Callithrix jacchus: one gene and its partners. The protein of the gene in region 1 purifies or fractionates together with the protein of each later gene. This does not show direct contact. Links are inferred from orthologs where the notes say so. Each region holds a gene or a part of one and is shown on either strand. Other genes may lie near its edges.

What was found. Proteins that work in one complex are often made in the same cells at the same time.
Region 2: the proteins of CAMKV (region 1) and GPATCH8 purify together in Homo sapiens (affinity purification with mass spectrometry; 3 studies listed by BioGRID and IntAct, counting the BioPlex papers as one, with this or other methods). This does not show direct contact. The link is inferred for Callithrix jacchus from reciprocal best matches to the Homo sapiens genes CAMKV and GPATCH8.
Region 3: the proteins of CAMKV (region 1) and NAF1 purify together in Homo sapiens (affinity purification with mass spectrometry; 3 studies listed by BioGRID and IntAct, with this or other methods). This does not show direct contact. The link is inferred for Callithrix jacchus from reciprocal best matches to the Homo sapiens genes CAMKV and NAF1.
Region 4: the proteins of CAMKV (region 1) and PNISR purify together in Homo sapiens (affinity purification with mass spectrometry; 3 studies listed by BioGRID and IntAct, counting the BioPlex papers as one, with this or other methods). This does not show direct contact. The link is inferred for Callithrix jacchus from reciprocal best matches to the Homo sapiens genes CAMKV and PNISR.

The regions. Positions count from the first base shown.
Region 1 is NC_133516.1:32,472,078-32,477,194, forward strand, and holds part of CAMKV (caM kinase-like vesicle-associated protein), read right to left. Parts: intron 3,411-5,117; 5' UTR 3,397-3,410; coding exon 3,302-3,396; intron 3,180-3,301; coding exon 3,048-3,179; intron 2,869-3,047; coding exon 2,794-2,868; intron 2,580-2,793; coding exon 2,441-2,579; intron 2,300-2,440; coding exon 2,179-2,299; intron 2,012-2,178; coding exon 1,936-2,011; intron 1,846-1,935; coding exon 1,709-1,845; intron 1,543-1,708; coding exon 1,464-1,542; intron 1,254-1,463; coding exon 1,166-1,253; intron 877-1,165; coding exon 322-876; 3' UTR 1-321. UniProt on the Homo sapiens protein: Does not appear to have detectable kinase activity.
Region 2 is NC_133506.1:71,235,656-71,240,312, reverse strand, and holds the end of GPATCH8 (G patch domain-containing protein 8), read left to right. Parts: coding exon 1-1,167; 3' UTR 1,168-3,522; downstream 3,523-4,657.
Region 3 is NC_133504.1:32,765,070-32,770,084, forward strand, and holds part of NAF1 (H/ACA ribonucleoprotein complex non-core subunit NAF1), read left to right. Parts: intron 1-2,953; coding exon 2,954-3,402; 3' UTR 3,403-4,832; coding exon of another isoform or gene 4,833-4,966; 3' UTR 4,967-5,015. UniProt on the Homo sapiens protein: RNA-binding protein required for the maturation of box H/ACA snoRNPs complex and ribosome biogenesis.
Region 4 is NC_133505.1:105,435,749-105,440,865, reverse strand, and holds part of PNISR (arginine/serine-rich protein PNISR), read left to right. Parts: intron 1-115; coding exon 116-253; intron 254-1,266; coding exon 1,267-1,366; intron 1,367-2,082; coding exon 2,083-2,136; intron 2,137-3,271; coding exon 3,272-3,442; intron 3,443-4,363; coding exon 4,364-5,117.

The DNA of each region.
Region 1 (5,117 bases):
GAAGGAGAGCAGGAGCCTCCTGAGTATCCCTAGAGCAGCATCCCACAAGGAACAGAAACTGGTGAAGCTAGCAGAAGACAGAAAAGCCACAAGGAATCCATGCAGGGGCTGGGGCCGGCCCTGCCTCTGGCCTGCCCACCACTCACACACATACACACAGGAGACGAGACTGCTCTCCCGTGACCCCTAGGTATGCCCCACTGGGATGCGGGGGCATGGGGGAGCGAGGGCATCATGCCAGTGACTCTATGTACAAGAAGCCCCTCATTCACTCTTCCACCCTTCTGCCCATCCCCCGCCCCCCCTCACCAGGCTGCCTACTCAGCTGGTCTCCTCCCTTTGAGACTCCTGGGCATAACCAGCAGCCTCTTCCCCTTTACTGGAGGGTGGAGCCTGGCCTGTGGCGCCCTCTGGGGCTGTGCTGTCCGGCTGGGCCATAGCCGGCTCAGGGGTGGCAGCTGCCTTGGTGGCCAGTGTGGCACTGCTTTGGGTGGTGGGCACAGTGCTCTCTTCTGTGGCTGGTGTGGCTCTCCCATCAATGGCTGGAGTAGTGCTCCTGTCAGTGGCTGGGGTGACACTCCCATCAGTGGCTGGGGTGATGCTTCCATCGGTGGCTGGGGTGACACTGCCATCAGTGGCACTTCCATCTGTGGCTGGGGTGGCACTACGGTCTGCGGGGGCCACATTATCACTCTTTGCAGCACGAGCAGCATCACCCTCAGGGGCTGAGGTAGCTCCACTCACAGCTGCAGCTGTGGCCCCACCTGTAGCCCCAGGGGTGGCAGTGTCTGCTGCTGAGGCTGACTGTGCTGCAGCCATGCTGGACTGCTCTGGCGCTCGGAGCCGTTTCATGAGGGTGGTCACTCGGACAGCCTTCTGAAAGGAGCACAGTGGAGAAAGGCTAAGGGTAAGGCTTGCTGGATCCATTGCATGGCAGTGACCAAACCAAACCCCTTCCATAGTACCCCTGGCTGTCTCCAACCACCCCAGGGCCAAATACCCAGCTGCTCAGCACTCCTACTTAAGATAATGACAGTGGCTACACCCACACCTGATGGCCTGAGTAAAGCTTGTGTGTGGCTGCAGGGGTGTGATGCAGGCAACAAGCTGAATGCCAGAAGGAATACTTGGGATAGAGCCAAGAAGAGAGCTATCCAAGCCTTACCTTCCACTTGGCCCTGGCAAAGTTCTTTTCAATCTGGGCACAGACACCATCCTTGATGTTCTTATCAGAAGCAGCATTGCCAGAAATCCTGGAAAGGGTGCAAGTGTGTCTGGATCTGAGGGGATGAGCCTTGTGGAGACTCTGCCCACCTCTTTCATGTGGCATCCAGGGACTACCAGGTAGAATCTCTGGGTGGGCCTGAGCTCTAGGTGCCTGTATCCCCTCAGGCCTCAAAAATGGGGCTGCTAGGTGTAAGGGGGACTCTGGCCTCTCCCACCCTCCCTTAGGCCCTGCTCACCACTCATGGGAGATGGCCTCTTCTGCAGTGATTCGCTGGTCTTGCTCCACCTCCATCAGCCTTGTGACCAGGTCTTTGGCTGTGAACAAAACCAAAGAGGGGCTAGGCATGGGCACTCCATCTCAATGTCTAGAGGTGATGAATGGGCTGGGGGACAGAAGCAGAATCCCACAGAGGAAACCGAGAGCAGGAACCCTACCCACTGCTGTGCACTCTTACCAAGTGCTGGGCAGTCACCTCCTCACCTGCCTGCGAAATATCATCCCAATATGGAGAGTCAAACTCATAGTCACCAGCCAGGATCTTGCGGAAGAGATTCTTATCATGGTTCTCATAGTCATCTTCTTCCACCTCTTCATAAAAAGGTGGGTTGCCTGAAAGCCTGCATGGGGGAAGGGTCACACAGAAAGGCCACAGACACACACTCCCACCCCATCTGACTGCAAGTCTGCTTGTCCATGTGTCCACTCACAGGATGTACATGATGACTCCAATGGCCCAGCAGTCCACAGGGCGTCCATACCGCTGCCGGCCTACCACCTCCGGGGCTACAAACACAGCACCCATCTGCTGGTCAGTATCAGGCCTAGCCAGGTCCAGTACCATCCACAACCACTTCTTGAGATAAGCACATTTTCCCCCTGCTCAGAGCAGCTCCCTGAAGCCTGCCCCCCATTCTCCTCCTGCCCCTGCCCCTGCCCCACCCCCTGCTTGCCCAGATACTCGGGGGTCCCACAGGGCTCCTTGATGAGGCCATTTTCTAGCTTAGCCAGATGGAAGTCACTGATGACAATCTTCGAGTTTTTCAGCCGGTTATAGTAAACAAGGTTCTCCAGCTGTGGTGTGAGAATAACATGTGAGCACCAGAGCAGAAGACACCATGAGGGCCTCGGAGGCTAGACCAAGGCCCCAAGGTGCTGCCCACCCCACCCCAGCCCAGCTGCCAACTGGCCCTTTGACTATGGCTCTGGCCTCACCTTGAGGTTCCTGTGCACGATCTTGAGTGAGTGCAAGTAGGCCACGGCCTCCAGGACCTGCCGTACCACGTTGCTCGTGTCTCGCTCAGAGTAGTAGCCCTGGTCCAGGATCCAGTCAAACACCTCCCTCCCCGTGGCCCTGAGGGACACCAGCCCCTGAGCCTGGCGTGGGCGGAATTGGGGGTGGGGCAGGAGCACTTGGGTGAGCTGTCTATGCCAGGCAGCTGGCTGAGCAAGGCACAGGGACCTGGGACCCCAAGGGTCCAGAAAAGGGGGTCTCCTTAGCTGCAGGGGGTGGGACAGGTAAAGGCCCTGGGCACTGAGGAATCCTGGTACCCCAGACCCACACTCACAGCTCCAGGAAGATGAAATACTCCTTGCGGGTCACAAACACATCCACCAGTTGCAGGATGTTGGGATGCTTCACCCTGGCGACAGGGAGGGGAGCCAGTAGTTAGAGCTGGATGAACCCCTGGGAGAGACTCTTGTCACCACAGTGGCCACTGCAGACTAACTGGCCAGAAGCTGGGACTACCTGAGGCCACTTGCCCTCTAAGCCCTTCCCTCTTGCTTCCCACACCACCCCAACCCCAGGCCTCAAACTCACATCTTGAGGATGCCTATCTCGTTCTTGGCAGCTTTCCGCACCTTGCGGCCGTCCCGCTTCTGGAACTTCTTACAGGTGTGCAGCTTGCCTGTTGTCTTGTCCTTGGCCCGGAAGATTTCACAGAACTCCTCACTGCAGCCGACAGGCACCCACTCAGCCCTGGCCTTAGCGTCAGCTGCACTCCACTCCCACTTCCCTAGCCCTTGCCCACCAGCCCACCCAGCCCTGCCTGACAGGCCCAGCCCAGCACTCACGTCTTGATGACCTGTCCCAAATCATATCTGTCAGTCACTTCTGACGGCTGGTTATAGTTCTTCTTGTCGCCCAGAGTCACACACCCAAACGGCATTGCCGGGCTCTAACCTGCAGGCACAAGGGGATCTGGCTTAACTATACTACTCTCCACCTCCCCACAACATAGGGGCTGCCTTTGGGAGACCCCAACCTGGCTAAGGCCAAACCAGGAGCAGAGACCATACCCGGAAGGGCTAGAAAACAGGCAAACTCAGATCCTACCCCTGCTTTTCTGGCCATACATTCAGCTACTCAGCTTGGCTGCCTGAACTACAATAGCCCACATAGGAAAAATAAACTGATATGTAAGGGAATAGTTTTGCATTCTATACATTTTAAAAAAAGACTTATCAAACAGCTTATTTAAATTTCAGCTATTTCACAGATTAAGGGAGCTATAATCACCCACCCACCTGCTAGTCATCTCTGAAGGTCTAGAGCTAACAAGTGTTAATGAAGGTATGAAGAACGTGAGCACTGCTAGGAGAGGGCAACCTCCCCTTTGTAAAGCAGTTTGGTAAAACCACTAAAGTCAAACAAACATACCCTGTAAAGCAGTAATTACACTCCTAATACGTGCCTACAGAAGTACACACATTCGTGCATCAGGACAGTCATACAAGAATGCTCATAGTGGCCATATACATAATCGCCAAAAATTGAAAACAGACCAGATACCACCACCGACAGGATATATTGTGGTAGAGTCACACAATGGAATAGTATACAGCAATGGAAAGAAAAAGCTTCAGCTATACCCAACCACATGGTGACTCTTACACAGTGTTAAGTGCAAAAAAAACACAAAAGAATACATATAGTATGAGTCTATTGATAGAGAGTTCAAATAGGCAGAACAAACCCATACTGGGGACACAAACACAGCAGTAGAGCTATAAAGAAAAGCTAGGAAATAAGCAGAGTCAGATAATAGTCCCTTATAAGAGAAAAGGAGGGGTTATGATTGAATTAGGACACATGGGGGGATTCTGGAAGACCTATTTCTTTTCTTTCTTGCTTGCTTGCTTTTTTTAGAGACAGTTATTGCTGTGTTGCCCAGGCTGGAGTGCAGTGGCTATTCGTGGGCACAAGCACACTACTGATCAGCACAGGAGTTTTGACCTGCTTTGTTTCTGACCTGGGTAGTTTCACCCCTGCTTAGGCAACCCGATGATCTCCAGGTCCCGGGAAGTCACCATACTAATGCCAAACTGGGTGTAGACACCCAACTGGCATAGTGCGCTACAGCCCAGAACTTCTGAATTCAAACGATCTTCCCACCGCAGCTGGGATTATAAGCACCCACACTATGCCCAGCTGTTCTGTCACCCAGGCTGGAATGCAGTGGCACGATCACAGCTCACTGCAGCCTCAACCTCCTGGGCTCAAGGGATCCTTCCACCTCAGCATCCTGAGTAGCTAGGACCGAACCACAGGTGCACACCATCACACCTGGCTAATTTTTCAAATTTTTTTATAGATACACGATTTTATTATGTTTCCCAGGCTGTTCTCGAACTCCTGGGCTCAAGTGATCCTCCTGCCTCAGCTTCCCAAAGGGCTGGGATTACAGGCATGACCCACCATGCCTGGCTTGGGTAGAATTTTTAAAGTTTACATATTGATGCACATTCACAAACTCTTTTCTGAAAGAATATTGAAGGAAATAAGAGTTTTCTCTTCTGGGCAAAAAAATTGTGTGTCAAAAAGGCAGACATCTTTTGTTTATTTTCTGTTCAAATATCTACTATTTTATTGTAATGAGTTTGATGGGTT
Region 2 (4,657 bases), on another chromosome or scaffold:
ACCCCTAATAAAGCTGGGCCCAAGCTCAAAGATCCCCCACAAGGTTACTTTGGGCCCAAGCTCCCCCCATCTCTTGGCAATAAACCTATCCTTCCACTGATAGGGAAGCTCCCAGCTACCCGAAAGCCCAACAAAAAATGTGAAGAGTCTGGCTTGGAAAGGGGGGAAGAGCAAGAACAGTCAGAGATGGAAGAAGGGCCCCCAGGGAGTAGTGATCCCCTTTTTGGGCATCAGTTCCCTTCAGAGGAAACAACTGGCCCCTTATCAGAGCCACCTCCAGAAGAGCCAAAGTCTGAAGAAGCTACTGCTGATCACCCTGTGGCTCCGCTAGGCACCCCAGCACACTCTGACTGCTACCCTGGGGACCCAACCATCTCCCTTAACTACCTCCCCGAGCCCAGTGACGGAGACACCCTGGAGTCCCTGGATAGCAGCAGTCAACCAGGCCCTCTGGAATCCAGCTTGCTGCCTATAGCACCAGACCTTGAGCATTTTGCCAGTTATGTGCCTCCCAGTGGAGATCCTAGTATTGAGTCAACAGATGGGGCTGAGGATGCTTCACTGGCCCCCCTGGAGAGCCAGCCCATCACCTTCACCCCTGAGGAGATGGAGAAGTACAGCAAGCTCCAACAGGCTGCACAGCAACACATCCAACAGCAGCTTCTGGCCAAGCAAGTAAAGGCCTTTCCAGCCTCAGCTGCGCTGGCCCCAGCCACACCAGCCCTGCAGCCCATCCACATTCAGCAGCCAGCTACAGCCTCTGCCACCTCCATCACAACTGTTCAGCATGCCATCCTACAACATCATGCTGCAGCAGCTGCTGCTGCCATTGGCATTCACCCCCACCCCCATCCCCAACCACTTGCCCAGGTGCATCATATTCCCCAGCCCCATCTGACTCCCATTTCCTTGTCCCACCTCACTCACTCAATCATCCCTGGCCACCCTGCCACCTTTCTCGCTAGCCATCCCATCCACATCATTCCTGCCTCAGCCATCCATCCTGGGCCGTTCACCTTTCACCCTGTCCCACATGCTGCCCTCTACCCCACCCTACTTGCCCCACGGCCTGCTGCAGCAGCTGCCACCGCCCTCCACCTTCACCCACTACTTCACCCCATCTTCTCAGGTCAGGACCTGCAGCATCCTCCCAGCCATGGCACATGAGTTGGGGATGGGATCCTATGTAGGGCCAGGGAAGGAGAACCATAAATGTTCCCTTGGGGGTGTTGAGCCATTAATACCAGCAAATAGAAGCTGGGATGGGCAGTGTCTGGCAGCCAAAGAATTGAGTTTTGGCTTGCAGGGGTGGGTTTAGATTTGAAGTTTGCTTTGAGTTTACTATCAGGGATTTCTTTTTTCCTGTCATCCTCTCAATTTGTCTCTCCCTCTCCTGTGTTTCCAAGCTAGGGAACACCAGTAAGTGCTACCCACCCCTCTGCAGCAACATCTCCTAACTGTCAAGTTTAGATAATTCCTTCCTCCTTTTGCTTTTTATCCTCTGCTCTTCCCTTCTGTAAATTTTTAAACATTTTCCTCCTCTCTGGGCAGTGGGTTGTCACCAAAGCACTTGCTGTGGGCCCGTCTGATCTTGCCTTCTCAGTGCCACAAGGAAGGCCAAGTTGTTCTCGTGGTGAAAGTGCCACCACTTTGGGGTAGTATCTTTGACCATCCTTGGTGACCTTATGTTACCCCAGGTGAGATGGAAAGGGAGTCTGACCTGGAACCTGATGCAACTCAGGCTGCAATTCGATCCAGCCCCACATAAATGGAGCCACACATTTGGCACTGTTATCCTGATGTCCCTCACTCCAGAGGAGGCATCTCCATATCCCAGAAAAGGAGATCCTATCATGAATAGAAGCTCTGCGGAATATACAGTTGCCCATGTGCTTTCCCAGAGAGGAGTTCATGTGTCTGAAGTGAAGGGTATATTTTCTTGTTGTGTTGATGTTTCCTTTTTAATTTATAGGATTTTTTAATGTAAAAAATTGCACTGAACTCTATAAACGTAAATGCTGCTTTTTGTAGCTCATATAAGAAAGGTTCCATATTTGTAGTATACTGCAATAATATTTTTTACATCCAGCTCTTTAAGTGATCCTCGTTCTGGTGGCTTTGTGTAAATATGTTTGCCTTAGTTGAATTAAGAAACTTTAAAGGTTATAAAATGAAAACAAAAAATAAAAGTATTTGTTTTCTGCTAGGTGCAAAAGTGACTAAGCATGTATATTTTACCAAGCTCCTGTATTTTTTGAAGTTAAGAACTATAAAATGTTAAAACATTTTTTGTTGGGACAAAATGTTAAGTAATTTGTAGTAAGTAGTGCCCCCAGTATTGGGATTTTTGAGCTAATGGGCAGCGGTCAGCTTGGGGCTTCCAAGGGAGGCTCATCTTTGACAGTCTCCCTTGGGTACTTTTGTTGTTTTACACAGAGAAGCCAGTGGACCCCACAGAAGAGAAGGAGGGGACTCAACAGCTTTATTGACTGAATCTCACTGCAGTGACATGCCGTGATTTTCTGGGGGGATCCTGGGTTTCCCTGAGTAACTTGTTCCAGGCAGTCAGTCTGTTTGCCTTCCTAGTACTTAGCCTCCTCTGACAGTTTTTTTTTTTTTAATGTGCCTTTTGGGTTGTTAGAAACCGAAGTAGAAGTAGACTGGAGGATGAGTTGGAACAGTCTTCTTCCTTTTATTGGGAGGTGAGCACATTTATAGATACTTCAAATTATTTTGCTTCATAGTTTCCACGTCCTCTGCCCAGCTCAGTTTAAGCAGTAAACGTTCCTTGTTTCTTTTCTCCCATGACACTGACCAGCGTAATTACCACCTAAGCCTCTTTCACCCCTCTCCTTGCCTTTCATCCAGGCCCTCAGCCCTAATTAACACACTGACCCAAAGGTGCTTGTATTGCAGGTTCCATCTCCTTTGATGAGTTTAACAATTCCCTCTGTGGCATTTTCCTAACTATTCGTGTAGCTAGAATTGGCTGGGTGGTCACTTGGTAAGAAAAACTTCACTTACCTGGGCTAAGGCTCTGTGTTCCTGCCTTCTCAAATTCTCAAAAGAGAAAGGTTTTGAGTTTATGAGAAGAAAGTGCCAGGCAAACACAACTCTTGACTGCCCTCCCACCCTCCTACCTATTCAGTGCTCCTCGTCTGATTCAGAAGCATCACTTCTTGGATAACTAGCACTGGAAAAGCAACATCATCTGTGTAATTGAAGGGACTCATTTTTCTTTGCTTTCAGCCCATGTAAATATTTAAATAATACAGTATTAACATTTTGTGCTGCTTCCCATTAGCTTGTAGATTGAGCCATACTCTGGCTGCCTCTTTGCCTTCCTAGGGGCATTTTCCTTAACTTCCAGAATAGTGATTTTAAAACTTAAAAAAACAAACAAAATAACCTATCCTTACTTACAAGCATAACAGATTGTATTTAACTTTATCACATATGATAGAGATATATGCTGTAAAATGAGGGAAAGGAACTTTCTAATAAACCAATGATTTGTGGAAACTTAGCAGTGTCTGTCGTAATTGTTGCCCCATCCACTCAGCACTGGGTAGGGTTGGAAGTGTGGGTCAGAAATAACATCTTGTTTGAAGTGACCAAGGAACAGATCCTGTGAACCAGTTTGAGTTGTTTGCAGTTGTGCGTCTGAAAGCTTAGGCTACACAAAGAGAGGAAAGATCTTGGTGTGGGAGGAGGTAATAGTAGTTAATTTCTCTCAGTTGTAGGTAGATGTCTTGGAATGTACACCTCCTTTCCACTTCGTCTTTCACACAAGAGTTTTCTTCCATTTTAGATAGCTAATCTGTGTGTAGTAGTGTATATATAGGTGCTTACTAAATGGGTGTGGAATTTCTGGCATTGAATTTTAGGATTTTGAACTACTTTAAAAGCACTGAGATGAGAAGAATCATCTGCCAGGATTTTGTCCTCCAGGTGGAGTTCTGTAAGCCAGTCTTCAATTTCTCTCCTCAGCCTTTTAATACCACTACAATGTTTGAGCACCTCTACCTGGTGAAAAGAAATACGGCCTAATTGTTACTAAGAAGATAAAGCTCCTACTCTTCTTCCATCTCAAAAAAAAATCACAAAAGAGGCAGGCAAAATTTAGCATGGAAAGCTACCATAGATTTGTAGTGATAAATGAGTTTTCCCTCTCAACTTCAGCCCTTCAAGAAGGAAAGCCTTTCTTTCTTTTGATACATTTCTTTTCTACTCTCTCATACACCTGTGTTCTCCCCTTGATTAAAGAGAAGCTGTTCAACTTGAACCTGGGGTTGAATGCTCAGATCTGCCTGTATTCCCAAAATAGCAAAGATCCTTACCCAGAAAGAAGTGACATTAGACATACAAAAATTAGCCGGGCATGGTGGTGCACACCTGTAATCCCAGTTACTTGAGAGGCTGAGGCAGGAGAATCACTTGAACCCAGGAGGCGGAGGTTGAGCCAGGATCGCACCACTGAACTCCAGCATGGGCAGCAGAGCAAGACCCTGTCTCTCTCTCTCTCACACACACACACACACACACACACAATGACATTAGAAAATGAAAAATGAGGCCAGGGGTGGTGGCTCATGTCTAATCCCAGCACTTTGGAAGGCCAAGGCGGGTTGATCACTTGAAGTTTGAGATCAGCCTG
Region 3 (5,015 bases), on another chromosome or scaffold:
GAAACACATCAAGGTTGTTTCCATTTTGGGGTGATTAGGAAAAAAGCAGCTATAAATATTTGTTACAAGTTTTTTGTGAAAACAGATTTTTATGTCTCTGGAATAAATGCCCAAGAGTACATTTGCTTGGTTGTATAATAATTGCATTACATGTTTAGTTTCCTAAGAAATTGCCGTACTGTTTTTCAGCGTGGCTGCAACATTTTACATTTCCATCAGCAGTATATGAGTGACAATTTCGTTGCATTTTCTCTAGCATTTGGTGTTATCACTATTTTTAATTTTAGCCATTCTGCTAGATATGTAGTGCTAATATAATTGTGGTTTCAATTTGCATTTTCCTAATGGCTAATGATGTTGAACATCTTTACATGTGCTCATTTACTATCTGTATCTTGAGTGATGTGTCAATCCATATATTTTGCCCTTTTTTTTTTTGAGATGGAGTTTTGCTCTTGTTTACCCAGGCTGGAATGCAATGGCGCGATCTTGGCTCACTGCAACCTCCGTGTCCTGGGTTCAGGCAATTCTCCTGCCTCAGCCTCCTGAGTAGCTGGGATTACAGGCACGCACCACCATGCCCAGCTAATTTTTTGTATTTTTAGTAGAGACAGGGTTTCACCATGTTGACCAGGATGGTCTCGATCTCTTGACCTCGTGATCCACCCGCCTTGGCCTCCCAACGTGCTGGGATTACAGGCTTGAGCCACCGCGCCCGGCCCTATTTTGCCCATTTTTAAATACTATTTCTGGATTTTTACTGTCGAGTTTTGAGAATTTAAAAATGTATACTTTAGATATACTAGCTTTCTGTCAGATACATGATTTGTTCATAATTTGTTCTAGTCTATAATCTTTTCCCCCTTTTAAGAGGTCCTCTTGCAAGACTAAAGGTTTTAGTTTGGAGGAAAATTAATTTATCAGTTTTGTTTATGGAATCTAAGAACTTCCTGCTTAGCTTTAGATCCTAATGATTTTCTTCTATTTTTTTTCCTAAAAGTTTTGTAGTCTTCTGTTTTACATTTTACACTTGCGATTCATTTTGAGGTAAATTTGTGTAGAAAGCGAAGTTAGTCTTGAAATTGCTTAGAGTGATAACTCCTACTTTATTTCTGTTTTTAAAAATTATTAGTGATATTCTAGGTCTTTTACCTTTCAGTATAAATTTTAGAATGTTCTGTACATCAACAAATATCTTGCTGAGGTTTTTTTTTTTGTTTGCCTGTTTTTTGAGGTTCATGCTCTGTTGCCCAGGCTAGAATGCAGCGGTACAATCATAGCTCACTGTAACCTTGAACTCTTGAGCTTTAGTCTTTCATTTTTCTGACTGACAGTATCTTTTGTTTATCAGAAATTTTTAAGTTTAATGAAATTCAGCGAATCGATTCTTTCTTTCATTTATCATGCCTTTGGTGTCCTATCTAGAAAGTCAGTATCAACTCAGGGTCATCTGTATTTTCTTCTCTGTTATCTTTTAGGAATTTTGTAATTCTGCACTTTACATTGAGGTCTGTGATTCATTTTGAATTAATTCTTATGAATGGTGTAAGGCTATTGTCTAGATTTATTTTTTGCATATGGATGTCCTGGTGTTCCAGCCCTATTTGTTGAAAAGACTACTTCTGCTCTGTTGTATTGCTTTTGCTCTTTTGTTAAATATCAGTTGATTATGTTTTATGGGTTTGTTTTTGTACTTTCTATTTTGTCCTATTGATTTATTTGTCTCTTTCACCAGTACCTCACTGCTGTGATATCTGAAGCATTATAATAAGTCTTGAAGTTGGATAGTTTCAGTCCTCCAGCTTTATTCTTCTCCTTCAATATTCTATTGTTTTTTTTTTCTTTGTTTGTTTGTTTTTGGTTGTTGTAATGCTCATTTCTGAAATTTCAATTTGTTCTTTTATCTTCGTTTTTTTTTGCTAAAACTTTGTAATTTTAATTTAGAATGTTCATAATATCTTGTTGAAACATTTTTATGACTGCTTTACTATCTTTCATAATTCTAAGATCTTTGTGATGCCCTTGGTTGATTTTTTTTTTTAATTGAATGAAATCTTCCTGGCTCTTTTTGTAATGAGCCCCTTTTTTTTAACTGAAACTTGGGTGTTTTGAGTAATATATTACAAGACCATGGATCTTATGTAAATCTTCTGTTTTAGCTGGGTTTGTTGTTTTATCTTCTTTGTTTTGTTTTTTAAAATACTACTCTGGCAGTGAAAGAATAGGGTAGATTGAAGTCTAGGAATTCCTATTAGCCTCTTTTGACACCTTTGGCCAAGGAGAGCCTTGTTACTGCTAGATGAGGGTAGAAGTTCTGACATCCCATAGGGTCTTTTCTTATTCCTGGAGGGACAGGAGTACTTTGTCACTACTCCCCATATGGCATGCAGTAACACCAGTGGAGGATGGCCTTGTTATCAACTGTGTGGGGACAAAAATCCTAACTCTTACTCAGTCTTCTCTGACATTACCCCAGTGTAAAAGATGGAAGAACACTGTGTTGCTGCCAGTAGAGGTGGAAGTTCAGGTTCCCCATGTGATGTTTACTGCCATTGCGGGGAGGCCTTATTACCCATACCGTGTTCAGCTTGTTCCTGATGCTACTGTGGTAGAAGGGTTGGATCGCTCATTACTGCCTGTCAAGGACAGAAGTCTAAGATCTGTACTCAGCCTTTGAGAGTGTGTAGAGATGGTGCCACGTTTTCTTCTCTGGTGTTTGGCTGGAGTAGAATAGTTATTGTCTAAGTGTTTTCTGTCTTGCTAGGTTCTCTTTCTTTGGCATTAAGTTTTGTCTTTTCAGTTCCTTTAAAATTGATTATTTTAAGACATACTCTTTTAACTGCCATAAGATATACTAGATAATAAAGAAAAAGCATAATTAAACTTTCAAACAGTGCTTTTTGATATATTAAACTTATTTTCATTTTTATGTTTTCCCTCCCCTCACTCAAAGGTGAAGATTTTGCTGAAGTACATCAGAATTGGAATGCTCATAGCTCTGCTTCAGAACATTCAAAAGGATATCGCAACAGAGAATTCACACGAGGATTTTCCAGGAGCAGATACCCTCGATTTTGCCATGGCAGGCCTCTACCTCAGCAGTTCTATAACTCAGAACATATGGTATCTCAGGAGACTTCAGGATTTCCTTCCCAGAGACAAGATAATCCCATTATGCCACAATACCCCTTTCCCCCTCCAATGTTTGATATGCATAATTTTTCACTCTGCCCACCACCTCCACCACCCCCACCTGTAAACATGCGTTGGGCTACACCAAACATGGCAGCTCATCCATTACTTAACTTACCATACTCCCTACCCCCACCTCCTCCCCCTCCACCGCTGCCTCCTCCACCCTCTTCTGGAGATAGTAATTCTCATTTTGGACCTTACTATTAGGTGACTATGCATTTCTAGAGAAATGTGGACTTGTCATATTATGTAGTAAGGATTTTTTTTTTTTTAAGAAAAAGTGATTATAGAGCTAGATTTTTAAAAACACTGTTAAATACTAAATAATTCCTTCTGTTTAAGTTGATATATATTTGTAGCCTTTGTGAAACTGTATTCATATGAAAATTTCAGCTCAGATTCTTGGGAGAACATTAAATTATGTGATATTTAAGTAAAATTTTGAATTCATGCCTTCTCCCACCCAAACCCACCCAGTTAAACTATATATATAAAATAATGGGTATGGAATAAGTTTCATCATGGGTAAAATATATGGAGCACATTGATTTTCTTGCTATAATCTGAAAATAAGATGAAGTCCTTTTGAGAGTCTTTATTTTTATAAATGTTTACCTTAGAAATCAATTTTAATTATAAATGTAATTTGCAAATAAATTTAAATGACTATAATTTTTCTTTTTAAAGCAGTTGAAGGGTGTAGAGGAGGAAATTCTTAGATATTGGTAGAAGCTCTGATTATAGCTAAAGTAAATATTTATTATGCATAGGCAGGCTTCTGTTATCTGTGCAATTTCCTTTATTTAGGCACCTGTTCTGAAGGCTTTACTATTTAACCTCCTAAAAGTGATACAAAGATTATTCACAATAAGATCTATTTAGGGATTTCATCTTCCATATTTGTTTCCCAGATACTCACTAGGTTCAATAAATAACAAGTATTTATTGAATATCTTAATTTAGAGTTTTTAATTAAATGAGTAATGACTACTGTTTTATATTATGAAGTGTCAATGTAAGGGAAATTACGGGTTTTAGAACTGGAAGAGGCCATTGAAATACTCTAGTTTTCATTTAATAAATGAGGAGCCCAAGTGTCCCAAAGAGGTTAATTTAACTAAGAACACTCAGCTAGTGAGTTGATGAAGAATTGGACCTGCATCTCCTGGTTTTCTGATTAGCATTTCCCACTGAATAGATGGTTCCCAGTCTTTCATTCCTTAACACACTTTTGTATGGCACATTGGAATAGACTAGATACCACTTAGCAGAAACCCATTTACTCTGGTTGCACTGAGGCCCCACTTTTTTTCCCCATGAGCTGAGGGGACTCTGCAGCATTCCTAGTACACAAGTTGAGAGGCTCTGCCTTGGTATGTATTAACTTTATCTTGTGAGTACTTTCTTCATTATCTTTTGAAATGTTTTTGGAACTTTAAGTTACCTTCACAGGTTAGCACAACCTTTTAATGATTTGGTAGAATACTATAAGAGTTTATGAGATTGTATCTAAAAGCACTAAAGGAAAAACACAAAACCCTTTTCCACAAGAATGGGAACAATTACATGTTATTATTAGACATCAAGCTGTTCTGATCATCACGGCATTTGAAAACCTGTCCATTTCTGTACCTCAGGTACAGGTTTACCTCATAGATTCTGTGGCTTCAGATCCAGATCACTACAGTTAAGTCAGTCACACAAAGTTGGTTTCCAAATGCATATAAAAGTTAGGTTTGTGCTCTACTGTAGTTTATTAAGTGTGCAATAGCATTGTGCCTGTAAAAACCAAATGTGTTTATCTCAGTTTAAGAATATTT
Region 4 (5,117 bases), on another chromosome or scaffold:
CTCTCATATTTCTGTTTCATAGACTTTAATTTGGGGTTTAAGATTTTTGATATGTAAGATAAGGATTTTACATTATAAACATGGATTTGGACTAATATACTATTTTTTTTTATAGGATAGTGATGAGGAAGAAGAAGACACTGAAAATGTTGAGGCTGCAAGTAGTGGGAAAGTCACCAGAAGTCCATCCCCAGTTCCTCAAGAAGAACACAGTGAGCCTGAGATGACTGAAGAGGAGAAAGAGTATCAAATGGTAGAATGTTAAATTTCTTACTATGTAGACATATTTATATTGTTTGCATCTTGTTTTTGAAACAATTTTAAAGGAAAAAATAGAAACTAGAGCTGCCTACCAATATTAAATGAAGAGATACTCCTTTCAACTAAAAATGTTTGTAGAAACTTCTATTAATAGGGACCTTTTTAAAATGTTTTGATTTCAGGCTGGGGTAATCTTAGTTTCAGGGAGCCGAGACAGGAGAATTGCTTAAGTCCAGGAGTTTGAGACCAGCCTGGGCAATACAGTGAGAAATTGTCTCTATAGAAAATTAGCCAGGCATAGTGAGGTGCACCTATAGTCCCAGCAACTCAGGAGGCTATGGTGGGAGGATTGTTTGAGCCTGGGAAAGCAGAAGTTAACAGTGAGCCTAGGTGGTGCCAATGCCTTTCAGCCTGGGTGACAGAGTGAGACCCTGTCTCAGAAAAAAAGAAAGAAAAAAGTGTTTTGAATTCAGTGTCTATGCTATAAAGATATATTTATAATATTTTTTTCTTTGATCCATATGATTTTGGAATTTTTTTGAAGTTTTGATATAACAGAAAAATGTTCAAGATGTTTATTCCTTGGAATGGCTGCTCTGATGTCTAAAAATATTTTATAAAATGGCTTTGCTATTGGGCACCGTGGCTCACACCACAATCCCAGCACTTTGGGAGGTCAAGGCAGGCAGATCACTTGAGATCAGGAGTGGAAGACCAGCCTGGCCAACATGGTGAAACCCTGTTTCTACTAAAAATACAAAAATTACCTGGATATGGTGTTACATGCCGATAGTCTCAGCCACTTGGGAGACTGAGGCAAGAGAGTCACTTGAACCCTGGAGGTGGGGTTGTAGTGAGCCAATATACCACTACGATCCAGCCTGGGCAACAGAGTGAGACTCTGTCTGGGGAAATAAAAGGCTTTTTGTTTTAATATTTTCGAAAATGTCATACTACTAGTAACTATAGTAATTAGAAATACTGTATAAAATACTCTTTTTTTAGATGTTGCTGACAAAAATGCTTCTGACAGAAATTCTACTCGATGTCACAGATGAAGAAATTTATTACGTAGCCAAAGACGCACACCGCAAAGCAACGAAAGGTATATTTTGGTGTTTTGGGTTTTGCTTTTCCTGGGATATTTTGGTTCTGATGACTATTTTGGACTTTTTTTGTTGTCCTTGTTGGATTTCTACCAGATATTCGAATATTCTCTTGCATGTTTTGACTCTTAAAGATTAGATTTGTAGACACCATATTAAAGCTATACACAACTATTTTTGTTTATCTGACCTTCCTGAGTACAAATTAGCAATCATGCTGTTGTCCTCTAAAATGTATTATGGAAAATTCCTGATGTTCAGTTTATTTCACCTGATATTTTTTTTTATAGATACCATGGCATTGGTGTATGACTTTTAATACAGTTTATTTTGACTAATGAATTTTGAATTATCAACCTACAGTTTTTAGTTTACCAGTTATCTCTTACAGAAGCAAATGATTCCCTACCCCTGTATTTTTAGTAACACTTAAAAATGTATTGAAAAAAATTATATTTCATAATCTCAGAAATAGACATACAGATATACTTGGCAACATTTTTTCTCATTATAAACCAATTTCAGCTCACATCAGAGTTATAATTTCAAAGCCAGACATGATACTGGTTTAAAATGAATGTTATGTTTTTAATGTTTCTTCTCTCCCCAAAAAGCAGCAATAGTAGTAGATTTAACAATACCGTAGACTCTCATGACTATGAAATCGTGGCTATTTGTGTTAACATGTTGTTCCTGTTGTTGATGTGATACAAAGCTCCTGCAAAACAGCTGGCACAGTCCAGTGCACTGGCTTCCCTCACTGGACTCGGTAAGTGTTTTTCATATTTGTGAGAGGGCCTAAAGGGAAAAAAATCACACATACATTGTCTCTCTACATGTTCTGTTTTGAAACTGTATTAGTCCTACTCAGTTTATAAAAACCTAGGTCTTAGGGTTATGTCAGTGTCTAAAAAGGTTTGACTATTTTTTTGACTAACGCATTCACAGTGAGAAGTTTATAAATGTGATTGTTAATTCATAGTTTATTGGGGCAAGTTATATTGGAGGCTTTCCTTATTGCTCCAATATTGCATTATATATAATTATATATGAACACCTATAGTTTGTACTTACTAATTCATAATTTAGCCATGATAGTATCTAAGCTCACTTTCAGAATTATTGCATACATGCCTTAGGGAAGAACCTATCCACTAATGCTTTCAATAACTTTTATATAGATTGTGTTGCAGCAAGTCAAGTTTAAATATAGAGGAAAGGGTTTATCTTATCATAGTATAATAGTAGTAATGTGTTCATAATTTACTATTTGCATGGAATATTATCAAGGCTGTAAAGCTTGAATTTGCCTTTTCCACAAATTCTTCATTTCAAATTAATCTTTGTGAGAACCCAGAGAAGTGGGTAGAACCAAATGCTCATGTGCTTTTATTATGTTTTTTTAGATCATTTCAGGGTGGGGAGTAGTTTCAGCACCATGATATTTCTGTAACGGGGAGATTACAGTATTCTAGTTTTTTTAGGGAAAAAACTGCTAGAGATTTCTAAACTTTGAACAATGTAAGTTAATTTTAGAAATATTTTCAGGATCATCATAAATTTCATTAAGGTAATTGAATTGATTAAGCTTTAGTGTGGCTTTGTTACTGCCCTGTTAAGAAGTTTCGTTGGTTAGCATGGACAGTACAACAAACCCATTATGATTCCTTTACAGTGAGAAAAATATGAAATATTCCAGAAAGAATAAGATAATAAGTAACCTTTGCCTGAAAGTTCTGTGAACTCCTTAAGCTTCTGAATATATACTTCTCCCCACCCCGAATAAGGATATTCTTCCGGGAAAAGGCAATGAAAAAGAAATGAGCTTTCTTCTCAGACCTTGAAAAGTTTTTAGTGCATAGTATAATTTTTTTCATGTGATAGACTGAGCTTTATGCACACAGGTGGACTGGGTGGTTATGGATCAGGAGACAGCGAAGATGAAAGGAGTGACAGAGGCTCTGAGTCATCTGACACTGATGATGAGGAATTACGGCATCGAATCCGGCAAAAACAGGAAGCTTTTTGGAGAAAAGAAAAGGAACAGCAGCTGTTACATGATAAACAGATGGAAGGTGTAGTATACCATTTAGACTTAATTTTGGTCCAGTTTTGTATTTCTTTTTATTTTTTAAACCAACCTAAAAATGTAAAAGGATAAAATAAAGGCTAGATTTTAGGTAATATGTGATATAACTGAAACTAAAGTCAAAATTTTTGTTTGGTTGTTTTAGGAGCCATTCATTGCAGTGGCTATAAGCCAAGCTATTTAGGGTATTTTTGTTTCTTGTTAAAATTTTTGAAATAAAAAAAGATGACTTTTGAAATGGTAAAAATATATTTGTAAGACTATTGAAAAGTAATTTGTAGCTAGGATATGGAAGGATAATAGAGAAGTTTTTACTTAAGATACTTTACATAATAATACTAGGAATAACAAAAGAGAAAATTTACTTAGAATTTCTTCTTTGAAAAATCTTAATTGGACAATTTGAAAGGTAATTATTGAGTGACTTTTCTATAAACCACGTATTTACCTTTACAATTTTGCTTTAATTGGACAAAAGGGAAGTGTTTTCTTACTTTCCTCACATGCACCTCTATATCTTGATACTGTATTTTGCTACACTGCCCAGGGTGGGTAACTTGACTAACTACATGTAGCTATAGAGGACTTGAAATGTGGCTAGGCATGTGCTGTAGGTATATATTACATGCTAACTTTCAAAACTTTACTTAGAAATGAGAACATCTCACTTTTTAAAAAAATTCATTATGTATTGAAGTGATAATATTTTTGGTGTATTGTGTTATTTACCTGTTTCTTTTTACTTTTTTAATGTGGTTAGTAAAAAGTCTTGAGTTACTTACATCTCTTGCATTGTAATTTTGTTGAACAGTAGTGTTCTATTGTTATAGTCTGGTAGCTTGAAATTTGGTAGTATGAAAATTTTACATTCAAATTTTCTTAGTATTTTTGTCTTTTTCTGTTTCAGAAGAAAAGCAACAAACAGAAAGGGTTACAAAAGAGATGAATGAATTTATCCATAAAGAGCAAAATAGTTTATCACTACTAGAAGCAAGAGAAGCAGACGGTGATGTGGTTAATGAAAAGAAGAGAACTCCAAATGAAACCACATCAGTTTTAGAACCAAAAAAAGAGCATAAAGAAAAAGAAAAACAAGGAAGGAGTAGGTCAGGAAGTTCTAGTAGTGGTAGTTCCAGTAGCAATAGCAGAACTAGTAGTACTAGTAGTACTGTCTCTAGCTCTTCATACAGTTCTAGCTCAGGTAGTAGTCGCACTTCTTCTCGGTCTTCTTCTCCTAAAAGGAAAAAGAGACACAGTAGGAGTAGATCTCCAACAATCAAAGCTAGACGTAGCAGGAGTAGAAGCTACTCTCGCAGAATTAAAATAGAGAGCAATAGAGCTAGGGTAAAGATAAGAGATAGGAGGAGATCTAATAGAAATAGCATTGAAAGAGAAAGACGACGAAATCGGAGTCCTTCCCGAGAGAGACGTAGGAGTAGAAGTCGCTCAAGGGATAGACGAACCAATCGTTCCAGTCGAAGTAGGAGTCGAGATAGGCGTAAAATTGATGATCAACGTGGAAATCTTAGTGGCAACAGTCATAAGCATAAAGGTGAGGCTAAAGAACAAGAGAGGAAAAAGGAGAGGAGTCGAAGTATAGATAAAGATAGGAAAAAGAAAGACAAAGAAAGGGAACGTGAACAGGATAAAAGAAAAGAGAA